Linked DNA regions of Bombyx mori. The protein of the gene in region 1 binds, or shares a complex with, the protein of each later gene. Links are inferred from orthologs where the notes say so. Each region holds a gene or a part of one and is shown on either strand. Other genes may lie near its edges.

Region 1 (7,028 bases):
AGAAAAGATTATCATGACGACAACAAGAAAAATGATAGACTAATTATTAAGTACAAACCTATTGATCCTAATGCCAATACGGATACGGTAGTAAAGAAATTAAATAGCCTCCGGACTTCTTACAAGAAATAACTCGACAAAGCCAAAGTTTTTAAAATCCGGAGCCGGAGATTAAGTCTATGTTCCTCGTTTGTGGTACCTATTTCGACTTGATGAATTTTTCACATGATGAAGAAATACCAAGGCGGTCTATATCAAATATGGAGGATGAAAATGATTATTATTGACTAGCTGGACCCCGTGGTGTTATCCGCGGTACTACAATAATCGCGGGAAGTGCCGCGGAGTGAGCCGCCGCGCTAGTCTAAAAAGTAGCCTAAGCTACTCTTTATATCATCAGCTACCTATCAGTGTAAGTCGCGTCAAAATTGGTCTGTTTTTTAGACTAAATTCAAAATTTCAACTTATTTAATAAATTTATGTGAGAGTATGACTTTCTTTTAAGAAGCCACTCCTTACACCACACACTACGTGATTTTTGCACGAAATAAGCCAGGCTATCGCAAGCGCGTCATCATTTTCTATCGCGGACGACATGTTTACAGTCTGAGCTTCTGCAGAGAACTGACGATCGATGCAGATATCGTTGACGTGTGGACTGTGGACACTCAACGGACGTACGATAAACTGTGCAGTCACATCGCTACGATAAATCGTTGTAGTGTATACCGACCATAGCATTGCAGAAACAGTTCGCAATATCAATGTTGCGTTTGGAGAGGGGGCTGCTACTGAACGCACCGTGCGATTTCGGTCTAAACGCTTTCGTGATGGAAATTTTTATTTCAAGAACGAACCACGTGGAAGACCGCCCACACATGTGAATAAAAATGAAGTAAAAGAGATGGTAGAAGCTGATCCGAGCTAAAGTACCCAGGAATTAGCGGCTTAGTTTAACGTTACCTTACCAACAATACTCATGAATGAAAATTTTGAAAAGAAGAACATCATAGGTACCATTTGAAAAACGTTTCACTCAAAAATCTCAAACCATGAAGGTTCTATGTCAATTCGAAGTACCTATTACAATACAACAGCAATTTCATACTTTAACCCCTATTATATTAGTTACCTACATAATTACCAGCACTATCATATTTATATTAATTGTACGAGTAATAGATCTTTGCCTATGAAATTGCCGTTTTATAATATTGCCGGGACACGTAAATAGTAATTATGGAAAACGAGTTTCGTCGCGGCATCAATGCCGCAGAAACGCCTCACAACATTAATGACGTGTATAGAGTGAACACTGGAGACGAACGCACGGTTTGGTGTTGGTTTAAATGCTTCTGTCAGGGAAATTTTGGTCTCCCTTTGGTCAACCTTAAAAACAAAATTATTGCCCTTTTATGCAGACATTCTAATGGACCCCCTTTGTAACCATCGCTCATGGACGAAAGCAATGCCAGAACCACAGACAATCAACTGACTGCTGACTTATAAATCTAAGAAAAGACAATAATTTTGTTTGGAATGTTTTGCAAGAAAACATGTTTTAAATTGTTTTAATATTTATATAATTTATATAATGTCTATAACTTAAAAGTAAATAATGAACAATGAATATTTGCTACATATGATATGGTGCTGGCGTGCGTACACTCATTAACGGGGAGTCCAGATATTCCATTTCAGTTGCACTCGGACCGGGTTCTGTTTGCGCATTTAATTTCTGTTGTAAAGTCTCATATAATTTATGTACAGATTCATTATGCTGAGTTCCAGGCTGCAGCGCTTTCATAAGAGTTTGAATTCTAGTCTCTGGTAATTTTGGATGAATATACCACAGCAATTTCAATAAGTGTCTTGTCACATTATCCTTAGATAGTCCAGCAAAGAAGAATTCATCAAATAATACAGTACTAAAATCTTCTCCTTGGAACTCATCAGGTAACTGTACTAGAAGTGCCACTAAAGCATGCAAAAATGGGTCTTCATATGCTCTACCATCTTTACAACTACCGAGAATACTAAGAATGCGAAGTAAGGCACCACGGTCACGTAATTTGGCTGCATGCAGTGTGTAGTACATTGCAATAACACCACAAACTGAGCTTTCTCTCATATAGGCTTCACAAGCATCAGGTGGAGGTCCCGAGTGCTCTATCGTAGTGATGGCAGACTCTCTTTCATCTGGAGGTAACTTATTATGTAGTGCTCTCACTTGATCATCCACCATCAATGACATCAAGGCAGGCAAGTATTTTGTGACACATTGACTATCTAATTTTGGCTCTTTGAATTCTTGAGAATCGATCATTACCCAAGCGCTCAACCCTAATGCCAACATTCTTAGCAGTAGTATTAAAACTGTACTATCTCGAGGTAGCCCTTCAGTGTTTATTAAATGTTGTAAAATTTTGATAGCTGACGTTGCTAAGAAATTGATAGCATAAGGGTCGCATAACGTCATAGAAAGATCTCCTAGAACTTGCTCCTGTCCCTTTTTAATACTGTCTAAAAAACCTTGCAGTTCCCTAGATCTTTTAATGTCTACATTCCTTTCCCTGATACAAGCATCCAAACACCATGTGAATTTATGACAAGGGTCTACAGATATGATGTCTTGAACTTCTAGGTCATGCAAGGCCATGAGAAGCTCTGCTCTTAATGTACAATAATGAACATTTCTAGTTCTTAAGAATAATGTTCTCAGGAATTGTAACACCATGTCATATAACTTAACACTAGTACCTATCATGTGGGCAAGTTTCTGAACAACTGCACCTTGTCTCCTTACTTTTGGGGAAGGGGAAAAAAATAGATTTGTAAGATTTTCATGATCAAACAGAACATCTTCTTTCTCCCTGATGTACTGACTGAGGAGTGGAGAAACTTCATCTCCAAACAGTGACTGGTTGTCTTGCCATATTTGACGCTTCACCTCAGTATCTGTGTCATTGTACAGTTCTCTGTCGCGAACTAGTACCCTTAGATACTTATCATCTATATGTGGGATATTTTTAAGAATACCCATTATAACAGGTCTTAAAGCTTTAACTCTGACGACTGGGAAGCTTTTAGATAGCAGTTCTTTGAGTTTTTTGTCATTATCCTTGTTATCTTTATTGCCAAGCTCGTTGATGTGGGCAATGAGTTTTTCACGTAATTCCTCCAGAACTGATGTATGAAAGTCAAGCCGCCGAACGCCATGGAGGTCTAGTAAAGGCAGCATCGGCCTTAAAGAAGGCAATAAAATACCGTTTTCAAGTTGAAACTCTTCAATAGCTTTCAATGGGTCGGTACAGCTTGTCAGAGCATCTCGCAAGAAAGTTTGTCCTGGTACTCCCACTTCTTCTAGACCAGTGCCTGGTAGTTTACTTGACGACGCCATCGATCTTAATTTAATTCAGTTTTTCAGTTCATTTAATAAATCAACACAAATAAATCTTAAATAAAGTTAACAACAACAGAAAATAACATAAATTAGTTTCCTGCTTAGAAATTATTGACAAGCAACTGACATTAAGCATATATTGACGTTTGACATCGAGCAGTAGTTTTATTTTTTTAACTGGAAAGGCAAATATGTCATACCATACGCCTACTCATATATATTCTTATATATGAAAAATGAAAATTTGAAGTGAAATAAAATGAAGTTGGTTAATTAATAACATGGTATGAAATACAATGAGATGAGATGATATGGGATGAAATATAATCTCAGTAAAATGGTGGTTATCTACTAAGGCTTTTTAAGTGGACTTTTTGGAGATCCCGAGAATTTACGTCCAGCGGCTTTGTTTCATTTTCCCACATTTGTGCAATTTCACAGATATTAAACAGCTAATAAACCACCGTTATTACTTTTTTTTTTAAGAGATTTTATGACCTGGTAACTGTGACTTTTAAGTCATGTCTTATTTTAATCTATATTCTTGATTTTATGAAAAATGATATTATGGAGTGAAATGAAATGAAAATGATTAATTTGAGACATTAATCAACTAGGATGAAATTAAATGAGATGATATGAGATGAAATCTAATCTCAGTAAAACGGTGGTCATTTACTAAGATTTTTCAGTGTACTTTTTGGAGGAGCCCGAGAAGTTAAGTCCAGCGTCTTTGTTTCATTTTCCCACATACCGTTATTACACAAGTGAAAACGTTTACAGATTAAAAGCCGTTCAATATTATTTGTAATCTCTTCGTAGTCTGTCATTATCATAATTATTGTGTTTTATTGGCTCAAACGACTCGTTACCAAGCCTTAAATTCTATAAAATTGACAGTGTTTTATCTAAAATCTAAAAGTTTGTATCAATCAAATTACCAATTTAAATGCCTTTCACTTGTGTATAAAAATGGATAAACAGAAAACGTAATTACTGATTGGTTTTCGTCTTAGTTTGAAAGCAATGCAAACAACTGAAATGAATTAATACATACTGCTTTTCAGATTAATATGTGGAGATGTAAATGGGAATTTCAATGCTTTGTTTACGCGCGTAGAATCGATTGTGAAGAAATCTGGACAGTTTGATTTGCTTTTATGTGTTGGAACATTCTTTGGAGATGATAATTCACAACTGGATGCATATAAAATGGGAACGAGGAAAGGTAAAAACGTTGACTTAAAATTTTTAATACGATAGAGATGGGCTCATTAGTTTACGGTCGACCCGGTATGAGATAGTCATTGGAACCTCTACATGTTTCATATTGATAATAATTATACTGTCGCTTATACTACCACGTGAGGATGAAGCATCAACATTATTGAGGCATTGGAATTGGTCAATATTAATTTGGGTGGGTTATGAATACATTTTTTTCTGACTATATATTTTTTTATCAACAATCTCAAATTACAGTTCCAGTGACAACCTATGTTTTTGGTCCATCAAATCCAGACCATGTACATCATTACTGTGAAGAAGGATCTGAAATAGTACCTAATGTTATTTATATGGGTAAGAACAGTTTTGAAACATTTGAAAATATGCATAGAGTTACATTATTATTTTTATTAATTACAATAAACAAATAAATGGAATGCTAATTATAGGGAAAAAAAAGAATTTGAAAATAATAATATGTTATTGTTTCAGGCCGAAGAGGTCTTTTCAACACAAGTACCGATGTGAAAATCGCATACTTGACAGGTTTATCAAGGCGAGAGCTTGGTAAAGACGTTCCTATGTGTACTTATGAGCCCAGTGACTGTAGTGCTGTCAGAGATGCATGTTTCAGAGGACAGAGTGAATTTAGAGGAGTAGATGTATTGATAACAACATTATGGCCATCGGGTATACAACAGGATGAATGTCAGACGGTGATTTATTTATTGCACATTGAACTCAACAAAACCTATTTTTTGTTTGATTAAAGTTAGATCAGATATTAAAAGTTGTGCAGCTTAATTTCATATTTTATATTACAATTTTATATTATATATTATAGTAACAGCTTTCATAGTATAACCAAACAAACAAGCTGTTTTAATGATGTGGAAAATATTTAATGTCCTATAAGAAGCAATTCAGGCACCAAGATTATTCACTATCAGATGGGGTGTGAGCATGTCTGAACCATCTGCAAGCCATAATAATAGTGTATTGAAAAATAAATTTAAACCTATTTGAAACGAACAAACAGTAAATTTGTCTCGGGTGATCAGCTTAATTTATATTCAGTTTTATCATGAGGTCCTAATAATTACTAATTAGTAATATAATATAATAAAATTAGTAATATAAAATATTAATCATTAATATTAATTAATTATATTTAATTAAAATTAAAATTTATTAGAATTAAATAATTTTATTATTAACTAATAATTAATAATAAAATTATTAATACGAACTGATAATAACACATAGAATGATCCTATTTAAAACACAACAAATGTATAAGTATACTATATTATTGAATTTGTTTCAGGTAGATGTTGAGCAAGATCGACTTTCAGATTTACTATCATGGCTTGCAATACATATAAAACCAAGATATCATTTTGTGCCATCAAAAGACAAGTTCTTTGAACGGCAACCATATAGGTTAGTGCTTTTACTAAATTAATGCCAAATTATAACATAATATGTGATGGGAGGGACATGATTGATAGGGCTTGATTGGGATGGTATGTCTCTTTTTCACAAAGTTAATTGGTACAGAATTTTCATCTCCATTCAGTTTGAAAGGATTACATACGATTCATATTTATCGCAAAAAAAAAACAGTCATCAGAATTCAATTTTAAGATCCTTTTAAGTCTCAATGAGCATATAAAAAAGATGATGGAAAGCGGTGATTATTAGAACCTGGCATACAAGCACTCAGTAAAATACACACTTTGTATTTTATATTAGTAAATTTAATTAAGTCATTGTGGCCTAGAGAACAAGATGACTGGTATTATTCTATTTACTGGTATTATTGAGCAATGCCACTAAGCTAGTCTTCGAGTGGCAGGTAGAAATTTTGCTAATATACTTAACAAATGTTCACGAATGACTTCCACGGTGAAAAAATAACATTATACAACAAAATGAAACTTGTATAATTCACAATTTGTGTAATTACTGATGGTAGAATATCTTGTGAGCCCCTACGGTTTGATATCATCACCCTGTCTATTTCTGCCGTTGTACTTTAAACTTAAGATTTAGAAGTAACGTTTCTAAGTGAGTGGCGACATTCATGATGTGATGCGTATAAGAGCCATGAGCTCGTTCACCTGTCTAGGCAATAACAATAAAAAAAGCATGAACCAATTTATTAAGGCAAGCTAATTTAGCCCCTACTTGTATTTCAGAAATCAGAGTATGCATCAAGACTATAGAGAATGTGCAACACGTTTTATTGCACTAGCTCCTGTCGGCAATAATCTTAAAGAGAAATGGATATATGCCTGTTCTTTGCAACCCATTTCTAAGATGCGCATGACTGACTTACTCCAAGCTACGACAGATGAAACACCTTGTCCATATGACCCGGAGATGTTGAAGCAAC
Region 2 (7,210 bases), on another chromosome or scaffold:
ATTCATTTAAGCAACTAACTAGTCTTAAAATACACTTACTTGTCATCTTTTGGCATGAATGCAAAGGGCTCAAAAGTAGCCAGGCGTCTCCTCAATATCTCTTCAGATATCCGTTGACCGACCAATTGTAAAGTACAACTGCGACCATCTGATTGAGACGGTGTACTGCCACCTGGATTGGGTGTGCGTGAGCCTTTGTCGTCCCTAAAAATAATTATTGGTTTATTTAAAAGTGAAATAAGGTGTAGGTATTCACAAAAGTTTAGTCTCGCATTTCATGAGCTCCAAAATTAAGTAACAATTACATTTATTCATTCAATACTTATATGTATGTGTGTTACAATGTAGTTGTTTTTAGTACTGAAATACATTATTTCTGAGTTTTTCTCTATTTTTTGCTTGATTCTCATCAGCTGTTGGCAGAGTAGAGATTAAAAATGATGCGTTTTGCCCAATGGTAAAAGCTTATAATGAAAGAGACCCATCCAATATCACAATAGACAGAATTTTTTATTGCTTAGATAGTTGGACAAGCTCACAGCCCACTTGGTGTTAAGTGGTTACTCAAGCCCATAGACATCTACAACGTAAATGCTTGAGATATGGGTTCTAAGGTCTCAGTATAGTTACGACGGCTGCCCCACCCTTCAAACCGAAACGCATTACTGCTCCCAGCAGAAATAGGCAGGGTGGTGGTACCTACCCGTGCGGAACTCACAAGATGTCCTACTACCAGTAGTTACGTAAATTATAATGTTACGGGTTTGATTTTTATTAAACGATGTTGTTCCTTCACCGTGGAAGTCAATTGTGAACAATTGTTAAGTACATATTTCATTACAAAAAGTGGTACCCGCCTGCGGGATTCGAACACCGTTGCATCGCTAGATACGAATGCACCGGACGTCTTATCCTTTAGGCCGCGACAACTTTAGCATCACCTTATGTGAGTTAGTTTGAGTTTTGCTATTGTCTGTGGAGCTAAATTGTCTTTTACTGATCGTTTTCGCATGTTCTTGTTGTCTGGCAATCCACATTTCACAACTAGTGGTCAATCTTTTTTAAATAAATGGAAATTTCTACCAAATTGTGTACTATCAAATGTGTACATGCTTGATTTGGTTTTGTCTCAGTGAGCTCATATACTGACCAAATGTCAAGCTTTGTTGTATTTGCAGACTTTTTTGTATTTACTATTTTGTATTTTTCAAATGGGCAAAAACTATTTTGTGGTCAACTCGTAGCTCTTCAACTATTTCATAAATAGTAGTATTCTGATCTTATATCTTTTTTTTTATTGCATTGAGTAAATCTATAATAACCTGAGCCAGTGTTTTCATTCGACATAAAAAAGCACACACTGAAAATGCTTAAACTGAATTTGTGCTACTTTTACTAACACTGTGTTAAGTTCACAAAAGTCATAAACTTTTTTCATAGTTTGTGTTATATCTGTATATATTATCTGCTTTTATACTGAAAAATTCAAATGTATTTAATTTTTTAACATTAATTTTTTAAATTAGAATACATACATACAAACAAACACAATTTTTTCTGAACAATACATTCAATGATTTTGTCAGACATAAACACACTAATACATTCAATGATTTTGTCAGACATAAACACGCTAGATAAAAAGACGGTAAACTATTTTTTAAAAGTATTGCCAAAGAGATTGTGGTAGAAGTTTTGACTTATAACTTTTAAAATCTTTTTTTGCCAACCTAATATGAATATCAAAATTGATATTGAATTGAAAAGTTATTGATTATTTTGCCTTACTTTTCTCTGGCAGTGACAAAAGAGTCATAAAGATATTTAACTCTTGGAGTTTGTTTCTCTTCTTGAGGTGGAGGTTCTTGTGAAGCACTGAATGGTTGATATGAAGCAACACCTCCAGGTACTCCAGCAGAACCACTTAATTTCCTTTCTCGACCTAAAACCAAGAATTTGAGTTTACACTACATTATTATCGTTTATCAAACATTTATAAAAAAAATATCAAATTAAAGTGTTCTGAGATAACAATCTACCTGCACGTGGTTTTTTGAAAGTGGTGTTCTGTGGCTGAGTTGGAGGACTTTTAATAGCTTGAATAGCACCACTTTTCAGCAATTTTCTAGCTATTTCCCTGGCATCTCTGGCTTCTGTAGGCCTTTTTGGTAAAATTGGCTTTTCTGGTTCGGGTTTTGGTGCCTTAAGGGCTTGCAAAGCTTTCTTCTTCTTTTTTAGTTTCTGGTATTTAGCTTGTAGCATTAGTTCTTCCTCGGTTAGGTTCGAAGGAAAATGTAAATAGACCATTTTTAAATTTGTTTACATAAAAGTTTAATTTTCTGTCAGAAAAGGCAATTTATAAAAGTATAAAGATACTAATAATTATAATTTGTATGTACCTAAATTAATATAATTTTTATTTATTCACGGTTTATTAATTCACGGTTATAATTCTAAATTTTGTTTTATCACTTGTTTACAGATTCTTTTGTTTGTTTGTTCCACTGAACAGGCAAAGGCAACGTAACTTATACAGCAATATGAGATACATTAACGTTCAAAAGTTCTGAATCACACGTATTTTAATACAAAAAAAGAACATCGCAGACACTAGGTAATTTTTTTTTAATTTTTTTTACAGAATTTTATGTTTTTTTTTTTATTTATTTGTTTATTTAAGGTCGCTTTTTAACAGCAATGGTCATTAACGACCACTGTAACCTTATAATTAAATTTATCTATGGTAATCTATAATTTTCAGGAATTTTAAAGTACATTTTACATTATTATTTAAACACACAGTCAAACAAACACATAGGCAAGGCAGTAGTATGTCTCTCTGCATTAAACATTGGGCACTCAATTAGTAAATGCTTAATAGATATATATATTGCTATCACATCGACTACATTTTTTATTTCTTCTTTTGTAATAAGATGGATGTGGGTAATGTTACAGTGACCTATTTAAAACTAATTGATCTTTTCTAATATTAATATAATTAATCTGAAATTTCCTTCTTTAAAAAATTGATTTTCTTATATATCATATAAAGCACTTTTATTATCTTTTACCCAATAGCTGTTCCAGAGTGTTTGAGTCTTCCATTTAATGTGTTTTTTAAGATCCTGTATATTAGAAATAAAGTAATTACATTGGGCTAGCTTTGTGGCTCTCTTAGCTTCTGTGTCAGCTCTTTCATTTCCAGATATGCCTTGATGACTAGGAATCCAGATTAGCTTTATTATGTAATTTTTAGCTATAACCCCGGTTAGAATTTCCTTGATCAGTATAATATGGGGATTTTTGTTGTGAGTATTTGAAAGGGCCATGAGGGTAGACATTGAATCAGTGAAAACTATATATTTTTTGTGATTTGTGTTTGTCTTAATAGGTAATGTTTAAGCATTCCAGTATAGCAACTGCTTCGCATGTGAATATAGAGGTATAGTCTTGGAGTCTATTCTTCCAAATATAATTTTCTAATACAATAGCGCAACCAGATCTACCTTCACAGACTGAGCCGTCCGTGTAGTACATCTTGAAGTCCGAGTGGTTATTTTTAATTTCGTAGAAAAGATCCTTGTACATATAATCTGATGTGGTGTTTCGGGGATTATTTTGAGCTATTTCCATATTTATTGTGAAATTTGATTGGTACCACGGGGGATAATAGTGGTGTTTACGTGGAAAAACCAGGGGAAAATCAAAATTTATTTCTGCGAGGTATTTTTTAATGCTTATCCTCAAAGGAGATGAAAGGGTTGGTTGTAGCCTAAATTCTATATCCGATGGTACAGGGTCCTTTAGTATAAATGAATCTTTGTTGTTTGTTATATGGTTAGTAGCATATGATAGGCATAACTCTTTTCTCCTAAAAGCTAGTGGCATTTCCTCTGCCTCAACTAAAATGCTATTTATTGGGCTTGTTCTGAAGGCTCCTAGACTTAATCTTAAACTAGTGTTGTGGTATACTTTCTAGGGTTTTTAAAATATTGGAAGATGCAGCCTCATAAATAACAGAGCCATAGTAATTTTTTTGCCTTATCAATGCTTTGTATGTATTCTTAAATGCATGTGCTATCTGAGCCCCAACTACTTCCTGACAGAATTTTGATAACGTTGAGTCTATTATAACAATCTGACTTTAGTTTTTTTATGTGGTCGACCCAGTTCAGTTTTTGATCAAAAATTAAACCTAATATTTTTAGATTAGCATTATCTTAACCCTAATCCTCCTGTTTTCTAAAAAAATTCTAACGAAGGCTAGGGTGTTACCTTTAATACTCATCTGTTCCAGGAGTAACAAGACTCTGTGTTTCCACACCATTTCATAAGCCTTTTCCAAATCCAGGGAAACCGCCACAACCTTATTTTTAATTGCAAAGGATGTTAATATTTCGTTTTCCAAATACGCAAGATGATCTAATGTTGACTTATATTGTCTAAAACCAAATTGAACTGCTGATATTAGTTGATTCTGTTCTAAATACCATCTCAATCTATTACTTACGATTTTTTCGAGTAATTTACACAAATTGCAAGTGAGCGATATGGGTCTGTAACTGGAAGTTAAGGTTGGTAATTTCCCCGGTTTCGGAATCGGTATAACAATGGCTTCTCGCCACTTATCAGGAAATACTTGATTGAGCTAAATGAAGTTGTAAATGTCAAGGAGTCGTTCTAGGGCCACGAGTGGAAGGTTTTTGATTAAGGTGTTAGATAAGTTGTCTGGTCCTGGGCTAGAGTGTTTTAATTGGTGTAAATGGAAAAACACTTCATGAATTGTAATATTCTGATTGATTGAGTTAATATTATCAAAAAAATCGAATACATTATTACTCTCCTCTATTTGTTTTTTAAAAAGTAGAAATTCTTGGCTGTAATTATTCGAGCTAGAGTTTGCAGCAAAAGCAGACGCTAATAATTCAGAGTTATTTTTTGGATCACCACTTAACTGTCTATCATTGTATTTTAAGACTATTGTTTGTTTTTTGCCTTTTTTGTCCATTAATAGCGTTTATTTTTTGCCATACAATCCCTGGCGGAGTGTAACTATTAATGGAAGTGATAAAATTTTCCCAACTTTTCTTTCTGCTTTCTTTAAATATTCTTCTAGCATTGGCTCTTTTTCTTTTGTAATCTATCTTAAGTGAATCTTGAAGATTTTGAGGATCTTCCAAACAATTTGGACTATTTTGGTAATATTCGGCTTTTCTTTTTTCTTTTTTGTATAGTCTATATGCTCTTTTAGATTCTTTAAGTGATTTATCACACTCGTCATTCCGCCATGGCACTTGTTTCTTTTTAATTTTCCCTGTTGTTTTAGGTATATGTTTTTCCGCTGAATCGAGAAGTATTTGATTAAATTCATCAACTAGTTCATTAATTTTGGTTAGGGATTCGGGTGTAACTTTATTTAGTTGGTTAATTTTAATTCCTATATCAGTTAGACCAGTTTGCCATTTGATATTTAAAGTGTTGCGGGGCGTTTTGGTTGACAGGGCTTAAATCTATCTTTAATGTAATCTTAATAGGGTAGTGATCACTGTCGTATAGATCGTCTAATGCATACCAGTCAAAGGAAGTTGATATACTTCGCGAAGCGAAGGCTAAATCGATACTGCTAGTGTGACCATTGCTATTAATAATGTGTGTGGGCAGATTAGTATTGAGAAGAATCATATTTTCGTCTACATCTAACCAGCCAGATATAATTTTACCCCTCAGATCACAGTGATCTGAACCCCAATAAAAATGATGGCTATTAAAGTCACCCAATAATACAAAAGGTGTTGGAAGCTGATTTTTTTGATTATTCAGGTCATTTTCACTTAAGGGGCAGCTATTGGGCAAATAGACGTTACATATTGTAATAGCCAAAGGATATTCTATTCTTATTGCTATCACTTCTAGTGGGCTTATAATATCGACCTCTTTGGGTAGTGTGTGTGATTTTACATAAGTAGCTACTCCGCCACTAGCTATACTGCTATTTGATCGATTTTTGAAAAAATGAATATAAGTAATTCTTCAACTTAGCACAGTAGTTATTTTTTAAATTAGTTTCTTGGATACAAATACAAAGAGGGTCAATATAATTTAATATACGTTGTATATTCTCCAATCGTCTATGAAAACCGTTAACATTCCACTGTAAAATTTTCATTATGTCAAATAAATCACTTACCTTATTTTTAAGAAAATATGAAATAAAAGAGACTATGGCTTGCTACTGGCTTCTAACAGTTTGATAAGTTCTAGTTTCTTAACTAATCTTGTACACCTATTTTTGAGATTTCTATTTAAATTCATTTTAGTGCGGAGAAACGTGCACATATCAATTAGATCCAGGATATGATCCGTATAGTCTTTGATTAGTTCTTGAAGATTTTGTTTGCTACGGGAATTGTCTAAAAAGCTAATAAACTGGTTGAGGGAGTGCATATAGAGTCCCTTCTTTATTTCGCCTGGTCGTGTTTTATGTAATTAACACCACAATTGGAACAATATAAATTTTATTGTTGTAGCGGCATAAAGTAATTACATTAAATTAGTTATTTAACTCATTATAAATTATTTTTATGTTTTTCATATTTGGCGGTAAAAAGGTATTGCCTCACAGACTATATCCTTTTTCCCACATCTCGTGCGTTCCGGCTTACGCATAATAAAACGCCACACCACCCCCCTACGGAGAAGGAGAATCCGCAGAAAAAGAGAAAAATTATCATAGGTCGAAAGGTTTGGAGAAGTGGACTCTGCGACCTGACCGGGTGGTATATTGAGGTGTATGTGTAGGAGTAGCAGTTAGAGGTGCCAAAGGCACGAGTGGACATGAAGGGACATTAGTAGCATCCGGTTGCGCTGGTTGAGGCACAGAAACCCGCGGTGCTGGTGCTGGAACGAGATCTACTAAAGAATGCTCGACGAAAGCTGGCTTAATTCTGTCGACACTGACCGTCACCTGTTTCCCTTTTACATCAATCGGCCACGTTTTTCCGTCCTCGGCTCTAGATATAACTCTATGAGGACCAGAGTAAGGTGGTTGCATTGAACGTCTAACCGAATCCTCCCTGAGCATGACATGAGAGGCGGTGGAAAGATTTTTAAATATGAAAGGTGATGGTTTAGTGTGTGAGGAACATGGAGTGGGACGCAATTTAGACATACGCTGTCTTAACTTTACGACAAAATCCGTCGGGTCCTC

The links.
Region 2: negative elongation factor B (region 1) and negative elongation factor E share a complex: the UniProt entries of both Drosophila melanogaster proteins name them as parts of the NELF complex. The link is inferred for Bombyx mori from reciprocal best matches to the Drosophila melanogaster genes NELF-B and Nelf-E.

What each region holds. Positions count from the first base shown.
Region 1 is NC_085125.1:6,338,832-6,345,859, forward strand, and holds negative elongation factor B, read right to left. Parts: upstream 3,556-7,028; 5' UTR 3,401-3,555; coding exon 1,637-3,400; 3' UTR 1,560-1,636; downstream 1-1,559. Other genes in the region: CWF19-like protein 1, read left to right, coding at 4,376-4,392, 4,471-4,631, 4,886-4,984, 5,123-5,346, 5,958-6,073, 6,832-7,028. UniProt on the Drosophila melanogaster protein: Essential component of the NELF complex, a complex that negatively regulates the elongation of transcription by RNA polymerase II.
Region 2 is NC_085110.1:10,969,222-10,976,431, forward strand, and holds the start of negative elongation factor E, read right to left. Parts: upstream 4,827-7,210; 5' UTR 2,308-4,826; coding exon 2,040-2,307; intron 1,943-2,039; coding exon 1,789-1,942; intron 205-1,788; coding exon 40-204; intron 1-39. UniProt on the Drosophila melanogaster protein: Essential component of the NELF complex, a complex that negatively regulates the elongation of transcription by RNA polymerase II by RNA polymerase II. The NELF complex, which acts via an association with the DSIF complex, causes transcriptional pausing.